2 linked regions of the Lepisosteus oculatus genome follow. The protein of the gene in region 2 interacts with the protein of the main gene of each other region in a biochemical or structural test. Links are inferred from orthologs where the notes say so. Each region holds a gene or a part of one and is shown on either strand. Other genes may lie near its edges.

Region 1 (7,504 bases), on a different chromosome or scaffold from region 2:
GCATCTGCAAGCATCTGCCTGAGTGGCAATAGTTAAAACTTCAGACTATTCTTGTATTACATTACCTTGCAATGCTATCCACACAGCTGGTACCACAGAGGAGTGCCGTTAGTCACTTCGCTAAAGCATTTACTGCAAGTTGTGATTTAGCCTGAGTCACTTCGTCTAGAAAGGCAAAAATCTACATGATAAAGCTTTGGAAGAGTACTGGCTTTGGTTGTTTTCCCCAGAGGGCAAAAAAATTAAATGTGTACAGTCAGGGGAAGTGCTTCTGTCATCTTGCTTCAACCACTTATGTCATCCCCTCTCTTCTCCACTGATGAGTAATGTATCAAAAAGGTCCATCTTTAAAAAGAATACAGCAGACTATATTCTATAGCAGTAGCAGTGAAAGAATAAGGGGGCAGTGTGGTGGCTCTGTGGCTAAGGATCTGCGCCTGTGGCTGGAAGGGTGCCAGTTTGAATCCCTCGGCTGGCAGAGGAATCCTACTCCATTGGGCCCCTGAGCAAGGCCCTTAACCCCAACTACTCCAGGGGTGCCGTATAAATCTGACCTCAAGCTTCTCTCTCCTCGTCTGTGTGTCTCATGGAGAGCAAGCTGGGATATGCGAAAAGACAAATTCCTAATACAAGAAATTGTTTATGGCCAATAAAGTGATCTTATAAGATATTTATCTAGAATGAATAAGTGACAACCCACATTTCTCTTATAAGTGCCTAAGTTATTTTTAAACAAAACCTGAACTGAAACCCCTTAACTTATACTGTTAACTGTTACTGTAAATCACTTAAGATCGTTTCTCCGTTTGTTCATTGTTACAGCTCCTCACACATCAGAAACGTCTAGCAGCAAGGCTTTTATTGCACTACCATATAAACCCAAGCGAGGCCTGAAAGTATAATATAAACATGTCCTAACAGTAGGACAGAAATTACAAGAAAAATTAGGGGCTTTTTCCTTATATGAACTCCTTGCAACCGGCTTATGAAACGTGTATGTGGGTACATATGAAACCATATTTCCAGAAACCATGACAGCTCGTTCCTTAAGCTGCCGATTCAGCGCTGACAGAATGTGCTCAGGGCGTCGAGAGATCTCGCCTGGCACCTCGAGCGACACAGGCTAAAAAAAGACAGAGCTATCCTCGGTTGCGTACTGTTAGGCTGTGAAGACTCCTCCAGTCACACCGACTCCTAAACCAGACAGAAACAGCACAGAGAGCAGTGAGAGTTTGAGGAGCTTCAGTTCCCATGGTTTAACCACTTCCCAGCTGGACTAAACAACTGCGATCGCCCACAAGTCTGAATGCCAGTCACACAACAGGAAAGCGAGGAAACGAGTTCCTTAAACTGAGCCAACAGCGGCGACCCCCTGATGACAGAGCTGGGGGTTAACCACATCCCTGCTGGATGAAATATCTGCATCTCACCAACGTGATGCAGCGCGATCGGAAAACCAGACAGAAATAAGCCGAAGAAGACGAGCTACACACATTCCACCTTCATCCCCAACTGTGTGTTGTTCTTCACCTGGAGGCGAAGGAAGAGCCATCTCACAAAGAAGGAGAGGTAGAGCAAACAAAATAAACATCCATCAAACCATAATCACAGTACAGAACAACTACTGTATTTGAGGTAAATCTGTATTTTAGGTTTCAACCAGTTGAATACTATTGCTGAGCACAGCGTGCTTAAATATCCCCAAAACATCTGCCTTCATCATCCCCAAACATCAAAAGGTCTCAGTTACCTCAGTCAAACAAGACACACTTGCCAAAGGCTTCTGAACTCCCTTACTGAGAGTCGCTGAACCAGTAAGAGCAAGCTGCAGCATTGTTCAGGTTAAATAACACTGCCTACCACCAACCACGGCTGGGACATTTTTACCTGCATTAAATCAATACACCATCAATTAATCAATCCTCATCTCGTGGCAGTAAGCATATGACTGCGCTGAAAGCCTTGACATTTTAAGAAATGTTTTAGGACAACTATGAAGGAATACAAATTCTGCCAGCTGTTCAATTAATCACTGTAAATGACTGTCACTATAAATAATAATGGGTAGATTATTAACAGCCCATCTCATTAAGATGTTTACTCCACATACTAAAAAAAACAATTACAGAATCGTAAGGACAGTCTCAGAAAACTCCTAGTGATAGACAATAATAGCCAATACCATATATAAAAACACCAAATACTGACAAGTTCTGACAACTGGGATTGATACAGACTGAAATATAAATCTAGGAAAGAAAGCAGCAATATTGTGTCCACTAGGCTTGCAGGTGTACACAATTATTACACATAATAATAATACTGGACAAAGAACAAAGCTCCATTTCTCATTTCAGGATGGTGCTGTGCTGCAGGGGTAGATACTCAGCTACTTTTTGTAACATTTCTACAGTCCAAGGGCCAGTCAACTCATTAAGTGCAAGCTGGAAGCTTAAAAGACACTCTAAAGAACAGAAGACATGCGGAAAACATCTTTCCTCCATTCATCTAACTTACAGTTTGTTCAATAAAACTGTTTGTTCTTTAAACGTCAATAAAGAGGGCTTTGCCCCACAGAGTCAGCAAAAAAAAAACACAACTTACCATTTTATGCATGCTAATGAAGCCCCCTCTGGCGGAAAAAATGCAACTTCAAATGTATATTTTAGCATATATTAGGCTGAAACGACCTGCACTGTATTGAAATGTGCCATCCTACATCTTCAAGCAGATCCCCAAAGACAGAACACTACAGCGTTTATTTTGTCTGCAGTGTGCAGTTTGTTACAAACACCAAGGAAAGAAGTATGCACGAACACAAAAACCACCTTATTAGCATTTTAGAAACACTATATCTTTGGGACGTCAGTGTGAAGGTCATTTTACAGGTAAAGCATCTGAGTCAGGCACAAGTCGCATTCAGCCACAAACGTCAATGAACTTACTGTACCAGGAAACCCTGGATAAAAAAAAAACCAATGACTAAAACCCAGAGGATACCTATAAAGAAATTTTAGGAATAGACTATGAGCAATACTTATCAACACGGATCTCATATAAAATTCCTGTTAGGCCTAGTGTCTTCAGGTATTTAGAGAGTGGATTCCTCTAAAGTAAGCTATGAACTGTAAAATACAGTACCTTAAAAAAAACCCTGGGTCTAAAACAATAATTTAATCAATTGTTTATTTGACTACTTAGCACAGAACAAAAACTAGAAGATTCTGAGCTTCCAAGAGTTGAGCTCATTAGCCCTGCGCTACACCATCCCCTAGAATACATTTCTGAAAACATAACTCATACTATAATTCATTAAAAGGAAAAGAACTCAAAATAAACCAGAAATTAACCCAAATCAAAAACTGTCAAAACGGCAATAAAGTGGCTTGAGACACTCAGGGTTAAACTTGACGGAATTAAACTTGGTCCTGAGGTCCAGACAAAAACCTAAAGAGACAAAAGTATCACTGGCTGATGTCAATGTTTAAACACAAGCTACCATGTCCAGCGCTTCCAAGAACACAGCCTTCAACCATTCACTGGTGGCAAATGGGATTTCAAATACTAAACGACAGAAAAGACAAATCCTTAGATCCTCGAACTCCTGAATACCCCACACGGTAGATGGGTCAAATGGCCTCCTCTCATTTGTAACAGTTGGTAGGTTCTCCAAAAAACAAAAAAAACAGGTCACAACAAACTCATCCCCCGTGACAGCTCTGCTGCTGCTCAACACGCAGGCAAGCACAGTGTGGCTGTATCTTCCGGAGAAGGAAAGCTTGCCCGATCGCAGACCTGCTGCGCGTTAATTCCGCATCTCCTCACCTGACAGGCGATTTGCTGAAATTCACCCATTCATCAATTAACCATTACCCCAGGCCCAGGCCTGCGGAGAATTAAAGCTGGGGTGCAGTCTGTGTTCTTTTGCTGCAGGAGGAGCTCGGGGCGCATTCATTCAAACCCTCGAGGTGCCGGCCCACGCGTCCCAACGGGAGCCACACACACCGGGCCTGGGGAACGGCAGATGGCGCTGGGGGGGAGGGAGGCAAGGACAATTTGCATTTAAATGGTTCCAGCCCCCCAAAAAAAGCTTTGTGGCGCACACCATTCACCTGCTGTTTCAAATCCACAGAGACGAGAGGGTGGGGGGACTCACTTCCATATGGAAGCTGCAGAACGGCCCTCAAAAGACAGAGCGCTCTCAGCCACCCAGGCTTCGCGCCGAAGCTGAAAAAGGACAAATTCGCTTTGACTGCACCCTCGACAACTTGCCCTGGAACGGGGGCAAACACCAGAACAAAACTAAAACGCACGCACTAAGTTGCTATTAATTCACCGATACTTTCGTCACAGACAGCCTAGAGCGCTGAGAATTGTTAAGAAAAGATAAATACGTTCTATGAGGAGGCTTTCAGAATAAACTATATAACGTGATAATCATTTATATTGCTCGTGCACTTTTGGATTCAACACAGAATGGCGCTAAATACATCATCAAGCAATGTAGATTTAATGATCATCCAGACTGATGAGTCGGCTTCTTCATGGACACAACAATATGCTGATGGCACCACATACAGCGGGTGTAATTCATTTTCAAGCCTGACAGCACAGTTTGGCTGTAAAAGAGTCTACTCGGACTGTATCTGGGAAGTAAGATAAAAGGCTCACTGTAGGAATGCTTCTCCATCTACTTGCACTGTCCCCTGCTCCTGGTAATAGATCATGATATATACACTCTGACAGAGAGCATTACACAGAGGAAGAATAACACTTCATCTATTCAGCACTGAAATCAGTCTACACCCAGCCTTTAACAGTCCCAACACACTCCATGGAAAACTTTAACCCTGTCCAAGCAGAAATTTATCTAGAACTTCTGCTATGTACTGTAGTACTCCACACAAACCATGCTTGCTTTGACTTTCTCAAATTCATACCTAAGAATGACTGGGGCTCACAATGTAATCTTGACTCATTTCCTAAAGCAAGCAAATGAAAGATCTGGGCTGACAGGCAGAAATGACTGGCTCGTCAGTCTGTTTAATTCCAAGAACCCAAGAAATTCACGTCCATGAGCAGTTCAACAGTTGCAGTTTATACAGTACTGCACTCACATAATTACAGAGAGAAGACCTTTTTTTTCTATCGGTTATACACCTGAATGATATTATAAAATTCCCATTTTTTTCAAACAGTCAAATGACCCTTTGCATGAATCTGAAGCATGCTGAATGTTAAATTGATTGCGGTCTCCACTGTGACATCGCATGTTGAAATTCAACAGTTCGGGAGAAGGGGACAAAGGGTGTTTTGGAATGGCCTTTCATTAAGGTTGTGATTTTCTATGCCATTTTAACCCCTCATCTTCCCCAGACTCCCAAGATGTGTCCACGGTATATACATTTGTAATTCTACAACTTCAAGACAAGAAAGACAGATCTGCTTTCAGCCTGATCTAGTGAACACTGCTTTCTGACAGAGCATTATCTACTGGACGCAAAGCCAAAAGTTAGCCAGAATTTCAAAATGTCTTTCCCCCTGTGTCATACCCCAGCTTGGGGGTTCCCCCTTATTTCATAGTCTTAAGAGGGGGGCTTTGGCCAGGTTAGATCATTTTCACACTTTCAACACAATATAGGCAATAGTCATATAAATTAGGTCCCCTGTTACAAGAAACATTACTCTGGAAGTGACAGTTGAGAAGAGCCACACAGCTACAGCATGCTGAAACAGAAAACGGACAGGTAATTGTGACCAAATGATTAGCATCACACTGCAGATGAGCTGCATTCAGCACCCCAGCACAGTAACATCAGCAGTACATTTTCATTCAACACCTTACTTAAAAAGGGAAGCACTTCTAGTGATTTAAAAGGTTTATCACATGACCACAAACTTGGACCATTTTGTTTGGCAACACAGAAATCCTCACACAGTACTGCGTGTCCCCCCCCCCCCGTCTTCGAATAAAGGAAAAAAAAAAACATTAAAATCCCAACATTTCGGGTGCCAAGCGTTAAAACACTGACTCAGCAGTTCAGTTTTGTTGCCATGAGAGAGATTCTGCATATTTAATGGCTTGGTTTTTTTTTTTGCTTGTTTTGTCGTTTCGGATTCATGTCCTTCATTAGACTGGAAACCGCACACGCACCCCCCCCTCCACGCCCGCCCCCCACATCCTCGCCAGCTCATCCCTCAATAAATGACAGCGTGACCGTCTGTCCTCACCAAAATACCCGCTCGCCTTCTTCTTAATAACAGGTTACCCAATTTAATTTGAAACGAAAACAACCATGGCTAACAAAAACAGCTGCGCGTGTGCATCGATCAGAAGTTAACTCCAGGATAGTGTTACCCTACACAGTGATGAGGCTGCGCCGAGGAGAGCCCAGAATCGATAATGTTTGCTCCTTCCCTTGGGCCTCTTTAACAGTCCAGCACAATACCTGCTACCACACGAGGTCGATTCCTGAAGAGCAAGCTCAGGCCTGGGACTGTGGTCCTGAAACTGCTTACAAAATATAGCAACCAACAAGAAAACGTCAGATTTGTATTACCTGGAAAGATTTTTTTGTTTTACATTATGTATGTGCTTATGTGGCAAGTCAGTTCTGATCATGAATCTACCGTTACTGAGGAGAGAAATCACAGTGGAGGGCCTTTCGTGGTTGTATCTTGTAGCATAACCGTCCTAGGTTTAAACATATGTACGTGGAGGTACACAAAGTACTTTTCTTAACCTAACGCATCTCAGATTTCCTGGTTTCAGAAGTCACATTCTCACACACGGTTCCTTGCTACAGTCTGTTGAAAGCAAATCAAGCACACAATTATTCTTGGACACTGACGTGTTGGAGATTGCAAGCTTGAATTTTCACACTTTAGGAAAGGCTGTCGACGGGCCAATTCAAAATTTATTGTCAATACCCTTTTTTTTTTTAAAAAAAGCTTCTTTCTGTTCCTTTACTGCCATACACACTTTTCAATAATCAGAAAAAAATCAGCAATACATGAAAACAGTTAAAGAAGAAGAGGCCAACGCCAATTGCTTCATTAATATTTTTTCTCTTAACCAAGACAGACAACATAAGACAGAGTCTCCATTATTTCAGGTAACTGATCCTTGTTTAAACTTTTGACAGTGGAAAATTACACTATAGCCCTTGGCCTTCAGACAGATTAATCTGATATGCAAGATGGTGCCATGGGGCTTCTTTTTTTACCAATACAAATGTATTTCACTGCACAGTCTCTCATCACATCTTCCAATGTGGACTTGCATATAATGGAACTGCTTAGGGTACAGCGCGGAAATTTAAAGGATCTGGATTCATTTGGCGTTCTCCTCATTTAACTTGGCAAGAACGTCTCAGTAATCATGTATAATTTGCATATATAGCTGCATAACTATATAGCATTTGCGTTCCTTTCCCCGTTAGTATAGTCTAAAGTTAAGAGAACAAAACTCTTTGAAGGTGCACTCCTGATTCTGTATACAAGT
Region 2 (7,361 bases):
CTCTCCTGAATCGCCTGTTCCTAAAGGGAACCCCTGGGAGATTTAACCGCTGAAGGTAAACGAGTGATTTGTGCAATTCAAGGGACGCTGGAGTCTGGGGCCTGGAAGGTGTTAAAGGGGAGCTGAGGTCCCCATTTCAAACAAAAAAAAAATCAAATTTCGAATTGTGCACAAAATCGGGAACTTTGCGAAAGTACTGCGAGTCAGCATGTTGTTGCAGATTCGCATCAGGTTCCCACAAATTGTGACGTGAAGCGGCCCTTCCTGCTCACTAGTCACTGTGATGACTGATGTACAGAGCTGTGAACCAGCCATTCCTGCTCACTAGTCACTGTGATGACTAATGTACAGAGCTGTGAACCAGCCCTTCCTGCTCACTAGTCACTGTGATGACTAATGTACAGAGCTGTGAACCAGCCCTTCCTGCTCACTAGTCACTGTGGTGACCAATGGACTGAGATGTGAGCCTGCCCTTTCTGCTTACTAGTCCCTGTGATGACTAATGTACTGTGATGTAGGAGTAAGTACAGGTTGTACAGCAGACTTTTCACCAGTAGAAATGCTCCAGCGTGATCTGATGGCAGAGTTAACAAGGGCAGAATTTCTACTGGATGAGAAGAGCTGGACTCACAAGCCTGCTTGTACACAGTGTCACAGGGCTGGAAGTATCGCTGCCTCGTTCTGAATCCCAGAACATGGCGCTGCGCAGACCTGGAAATGTCCCGTGTTTTGTGATGTCATTTGGAAGTTACCGTGTGTGCGCGTTTTACTGTCATCGCGGTCTGAAACGCACTCAATGATGCCGATTCTTTCTAGCCGCGAAATACAAAAATAGCGCTGCAGTTCCCCTTGAGGATTTTCATTCCCAGCGCTGTCCACCTTGTCCCACTGAAGAGTCACATCACCGCGAGAGCGGTACTGTCACTGGCGCGCCCCGGTGACCCCGGAATTTGGGGAGCACTGCTCTCACGCAGCCAGCCGGCGGGGGGGTCGTCCGCAACTCACCGGGAGGCCGGATCCCCGGGCTGCTGTGGGCGTGGCCCAGCGCGGGCCCGAGCCCCGCCTCCTGGCGGGGCCCTCTCCCCGCCGCGGTCTCCGATTGGGCGGGCTCGGCGACGTCATCCGAGAGGCCCGAATCGTCCGAGAGGCTGAACACGGGCGTCATGGCGACATCTGCAGAGGCGAGAGAGGGCACGCAGGTGAGTGCGGGGGGCTCTTCGGCCTTTCCGTTTCTACAGTGCACCACAGGAGCGTAAAAACACGGCCATTTTACGTCATTCAATTAAAGTGGACCCTGGGATCATATTTGAATGGTGTTTTAAGTCAGTTCCCCGACTATAGTCACAGGTGTTGATGTGCACTATAGTCACTGATACACAGGTCTTGTTTTGCACTATAGTTACTGATACACAGGTCTTGTTTTGCACTATTGTTACTGATACACAGGTCTTGTTTTGCACTATAGTCACTGATACACAGGTCTTGTTTTGCACTATAGTCACTGATACACAGGTCTTGTTTTGCACTATAGTCACTGATACACAGGTCTTGTTTTGCACTATAGTCACTGATACACAGGTCTTGTTTTGCACTATAGTCACTGATACACAGGTCTTGTTTTGCACTATAGTCACTGATACACAGGTCTTGTTTTGCACTATAGTCACTGATACACAGGTCTTGATGTGCACTATAGTCACTGATACACACACAGGTATTAATGTGCATTATAGTCACCGATACACACACAGGTATTAATGTGCATTATAGTCACCGATACACACACACAGGTATCGATGTGCACTATAGTCACTGACACACACACAGGTGTTGATGTGCACTATAGTCACCGATACACTCACAGGTATTGATGTGCACTATAGTTACTGATACACAGATCTTGTTTTGCACTATAGTTACTGATACACAGGTCTTGTTTTGCACTATAGTTACTGATACACAGGTCTTGATGTGCACTATAGTCACCAATACACACACAGGTGTTGATGTGCACTATAGTCACTGACACACACACTGGTCTTGATGTGCACTATAGTCACTGACACACACACTGGTCTTGATGTGCACTATAGTCACTGATACACACACAGCTATTAATGTGCACTATAGTCCTATAATCACCGATACACACACACATCTTGATGTGCACTATAGTCACCGATACACATACAGGTGTTGATGTGCACTATAGTCACTGACACACACACTGGTCTTGATGTGCACAATAGTCACTGATACACACACAGCTATTAATGTGCACTATAGTCCTATAATCACCGATACACACACACATCTTGATGTGCACTATAGTCACCGATACACACACATCTTGATGTGCACTATAGTCACCGATACACACACATCTTGATGTGCACTATAGTCACCGATACACACACACAGGTGTTGATGTGCACTATAGTCACCGACACACACACGCACGGTTACCGACAGTCAGGCACTGCCACGCACACGGTGTCACGCTGTACAACCGCACAGTGAGAACGGTGACATACGGGGCTCAGACCCACACGCTCGTGCCCTGGACGTTCGGCCCGCCGCCTCGAGACTTCCGGGTAGAAAGGAAGTTTTCCCGGAGAGGAGCTGGGAAAGACGGGCGCCCCGGAGCGAGCAGAGCCCAGCCCGGTCGCTGCAGGGTCTCGCCCTCAGACCCCAGCCACCCCCCTGGGGTGTGATGGGGGGGAGTTTGTACCCCCAGAAGGCGCCCGCTTCGGTTCTCTTTGGCTTTGCTACCTAACAGCTTCCCGGTCTGGAAAGCAACCTTCTGGCTGGGAACCTGGAGACACGCAGCTGAACTTTCGTTTGCTTTTTCAAAAAAAGCACTAAAAAAAAGCCTGCAATCCTCATCATGGGCGCCTGCACTCCCGAATTCAGTCACGACGCAGAACTGTTCTCCTTACCCGGACCGGCTGCGGCTGCTTGCTGGGCGATCGTTGTTTGGGCTCTCCGGCGTCAACAGAAGTAGGTCGGGTCCGGCTGCTCCCCAGCCCTTCCGCGAAGGCGCAGGTTTCGCTTCGCCCAGCCAATCCGCTCGCCCGCCCCCGGCCCCCGCCAATCGCCGCGCCGCGCCGCCCTGACGTCACTGTTGCGGGTCGAGGCCGGGGCCGCGTGCCTTGTTTACCAGCGCCGAGGGGCCGTAGTGGCGCGTGGCGCCGCGCACCCCGAAATCCAGCCCGGCCCCCCGGCCTTTGCACGAGCAACACCCGGTGCTCGGATATTTGACACACAAGGTCTGCAGCCCGAGCTGCGCCCTTCCTGACGATTTTCTGCTCCTAGGTGTTGTTGCGGACCAAATATTGCATCACTTGGTGCGCGTCAATCGCAGTTTCCCACCCGCTGGTGGATCTAGAAAACCGGTGGCTCTGCAGAGATTGCTCTCGGAGGGCTTTAGGACAGTGTCCAGCCTGTACTTCGCTCCCAGCCCTCGTATTGTCCTGTTTCCAAATATCTTGTCATGAAAACCTGTCATCGCAGCGTATTGGGTTGAGCTCTGTTTTGATTTGACTCTCGTCCTATATACTGTATGATGTATGCTGTATGATAGATAGATACGTGATTGATCCCGGGAGGGAACAGCAGCTTAACGCAGACCTCACAGCCACAGTGTAACGAATGATACAATAATAATAACACAATACAGTCAGTACAGTGAGAAGTGCACCAAGGAGAGTTACTCACAGTCCAGAATACACAAGGAACAAACCAGAACAGAACAGTACACATAAAAATCGTATTGTAGAATATGACTATAAATATAGATGTAAATATAGATAAAAATATCAATGTATTACACGGGTTCCTGGCATATATTGCACAAAAAACGGTTGTAACGGGAAAGAAAAAAGAACAGATGTATCAGTTTGCTGCTCAGTCCAGAAACAGGTCACTGTCGATGTTGCCTCTGCCCAGACACACAGTGGAGGCGTTGTACAGTCTGATGGCAGAAGGCAACAATGACCTCCGGTAGCGCCCCCTGTCGCACCGCGGATGGATCAGTCTCTTGCTGAACGTGCTCTAATTAGGGTGTTGTAATCAGGGCGGTGCAGTGGTGAGCGCTGGGGCCCTGGGTTCAATTCTGCTGTCTGGGTGGAGTCTGCATGTTCTCCCCGCGTTCACATGGCTCCAGGTGCTCTGGTCTCCTCCCACAGTCCACAGACATGCTGGGGGGGGTGGATTGGCTGCTGGGAAAACTGGCCCTGGTGTGAGTGTGTGTGTGTCCTGTAATGGACTGGTGTCCTGTCCGGGGTGTACCCTGCCTTGTGCCTGTTGCTTGCTGGGATAGGGTCCGGCTCTCCTGTGTTCAGAAAGCGAATAGTGTTGTAATTCTGCACAGTGTGCACAGGCTTCATGAGTGTTTATACCTGGAAATTTATTCTCATGTGGAAATGTTTTCTAACAAACCCCACAGCAGCTGGGCAGCCTTTGTGGTTCCTGAACACAGACATCCAGGGCCTCTGTCAGATCAGCTCAGACATTCCCTCAGAACAGTGCGACTCTGTTTTCACCATGGGGTACAACTACAGGACCAGTTAGAGCAGGGCTGTCCAGTCCTGGTCCAGGAGGGGTCAGTGTGTCTGCAACAGGGCTGTCCAGTCCTGGTCCTGGAGGGGTCAGTGTGTCTGCAGCAGGGGTGTCCAGTCCTGGTCCAGGAGGGGTCAGTGTGTCTAGAGCAGGGCTGTCCAGTCCTGGTCCAGGAGGGGTCAGTGTGTCTAGAGCAGGGCTGTCCAGTTCTAGTCCTGGAGGGGTCAGTGTGTCTGTAGCAGGGGTGTCCAGCCCCGGTCCTGGAGGGTCAGTGGGTCTAGAGCAGGGCTGTCCAGAGTCCAGTCCTGGGGGGTCAGCGTGTCCAGAGCAGGGCTGTCCACTGTCCAGTCCTGGGAACAGGAGGGGTCAGTGTGTCTGCAGCAGGGGTGTCCAGTCCTGGTCCAGGAGGGGTCAGTGTGTCTGCAGCAGGGCTGTCCAGTCCTAGTCCTGGAGGGTCAGTGTGTCTAGATCAGGGCTGTCCAGTCCTAGTCCTGGAGGGTCAGTGTGTCTAGAGCAGGGCTGTCCAGTCCTGGTCCAGGAGGGGTCAGTGTGTCTGCAGCAGGGCTGTCCAGTCCTAGTCCTGGAGGGTCAGTGTGTCTAGATCAGGGCTGTCCAGTCCTAGTCCTGGAGGGTCAGTGTGTCTAGAGCAGGGCTGTCCAGTCCTGGTCCAGGAGGGGGTCAGTGTGTCTGCAGCAGGGGTGTCCAGCCCCGGTCCTGGAAGGTCAGTGGGTCTAGAGCAGGGCTGTCCAGAGTCTAGTCCTGGAGGGTCAGCGTGTCCAGAGCAGGGCTGTCCAGCGTCCAGTCCTGGGAACAGGATTTGCTTGTTTATGCGAAGCTGATGGCCTCCTCTTGTACAGAGACTTAGTGCTCTATATTTAATGTTTTTCTTTTTAATTGAATTTCCCCTCATGACCACAAGATGTCGCTGTCAGATGGGGGAATCTCTCTTTCTCCCGGATTCAGATACTCAGCAGATATCCCAGCGCTGGCCTGCGATACCAAATCACAGCTCGGAGGAATAGCTGCCCTCCTCTCTTTAATGAGCGCACTGGCCCAGTTAGAGCATTTATTTCCATTAGAAGTTCTTAAGTAGTCAATACATTAAAGAGACGTTCAATCACATAAATGCACGTTTGTTTTTAAAGTCGGAGGGGTGCACGTTTTAAATCTTTCATTTGATATATGTGCTTTATGGACTCTTGGCGCTTGCTCAAGAGATCAGTCAAGTGCCTGACACTTTAATCACTGCTCCGACAGGCGCACAGTCCCTCACCAACACAACCTGTTCTGGAAAACACAGGGCTCTACAGCTGTACGGTAGGGTTCCTGTATGTTAGGGGCTCCAGGTCCAGTGCGATCCCAACCAGGTTTAACAACATGCAGGGTTCCTGTCTGGCAGAGTTCCAGCTCCAGTTTGATCCACTCCGGGTTTTACCAGCTGCAGGGGGCTCCTGTACGTAAAAGAGGCTCCAGCTCCAGTCCACTCCAGGCCAGGTTTTATCAGCTCCAGGGTTTTCTGTATAACAGGGGCCCTGATCCAGCTGGCTCTATATGTCATCATTAAGTCATCAGTTTTCCAAAACTTGCATCAGTCTCTTCCTGCTCGGAGAGGCCGGCGATTGGTCAAATTAAGTCGTTTCACCCCCTGGCCTCCACGACCGGCGTTCTCTCAATTGAACAATTGACTTTGATGAGCAGCTCGATGAAGCCCAGGTTTCCCCCAGCCCTGGACAGTGGTGACCTGTGGGGCCGACTGCAGCCGGGCCCTGTGGGACCAGGGCCAGAGAGCTCCACAACAGAGGTGCTGCCTCCGTCCGGCCGGGTCTGTTCGGGTCAGCACCAGAACCCCGAACCCCCCCCCCCACAGACTCTTGCGGAGGTGCGTCTCCTGTTTTTTAGTCCAAAATACACCCACCCCTGTGTCCATCCAGCTTCGAAGCCTTCCCTCCAGCCGCCAGCCCGATTCCCATTGCGGAGCGGTCGGATCCGCTCCGGGTCGTGGCGGTGGCCCGTGTGTGTGAGTGTTTCCTCCGGGTCCTCCAGGTGCTCCGGTTTCCTCCCACAGTCCAGAGACATGCTTGGGAGGTGAATGGGCTTCTGGGAAAACTGGCCCCGGTGTGTGTGTGCCCCGTGATGGACGGGCGTCCTGCCCAGGGTGAGTGAGTGTGTCAGCGTGTGTCCTGTGATGGACTGGCGTCCCGTCCAGGGTGTACCCTGCCTTGTGCCCGCTGCTTGCTGGGATAGACTCCAGCTCCCCGGTTCATGGCTTCAATGAAGATAAGTTAGCAGCCATATCACCCTGCAGCTCACAACTGGCAACCCACTGGAGCTCAGCAGGTGTGAGCTTGGTCAGTACCTGGAGGGGAGACTCCTGGGAAAGCTGAGGCTGCTGCTGGAAGAGGTGTGAGTGGGGCCAGCAGGGGGCGCTCACCCTGCGGTCTGTGTGGGTCCTAATGCCCAGTATAGTGACGGGGACACTAGACTGTAAACAGGCGCCGTCCTTCGGATGAGATGTAAAACCGAGGTCCTGACTTTCTGTGGTCATTAACAATCCCAGGGTGCTTCTCGAAAAGAGTAGGGGTGTTACCCCAGTGTCCTGGCCAAATTTCCCATTGGCCCTAACCAATCATGGCCTCCTAATAACCCCCCTCTCTGAACTGGCTCCATCACTCTGCTCTCCTCCCCACTGAGAGCTGGGGTGTGGGGAGCGTTCTGGCGCACTATGGCTGCCGTCGCATCATCCAGGTGGGGCTGCACACTGGTGGTGGTGGAGGGGATCCCCACTACCTGTAAAGCGCTTT

What was found.
Region 1: of the proteins of bcl2-associated agonist of cell death-like (region 2) and pak1, one has a biochemical effect on the other in vitro, tested with the Homo sapiens proteins (3 studies listed by BioGRID). The link is inferred for Lepisosteus oculatus from reciprocal best matches to the Homo sapiens genes BAD and PAK1.

Annotation. Positions count from the first base shown.
Region 1 is NC_090700.1:9,943,462-9,950,965, reverse strand, and holds the start of pak1 (serine/threonine-protein kinase PAK 1), read right to left. Parts: upstream 3,007-7,504; 5' UTR 2,617-3,006; coding exon 2,605-2,616; intron 1-2,604. UniProt on the Homo sapiens protein: Protein kinase involved in intracellular signaling pathways downstream of integrins and receptor-type kinases that plays an important role in cytoskeleton dynamics, in cell adhesion, migration, proliferation, apoptosis, mitosis, and in vesicle-mediated transport processes.
Region 2 is NC_090713.1:21,769,155-21,776,515, forward strand, and holds the start of bcl2-associated agonist of cell death-like, read right to left. Parts: upstream 3,072-7,361; 5' UTR 2,940-3,071; intron 1,174-2,939; 5' UTR 1,166-1,173; coding exon 1,006-1,165; intron 1-1,005. UniProt on the Homo sapiens protein: Promotes cell death. Successfully competes for the binding to Bcl-X(L), Bcl-2 and Bcl-W, thereby affecting the level of heterodimerization of these proteins with BAX. Can reverse the death repressor activity of Bcl-X(L), but not that of Bcl-2.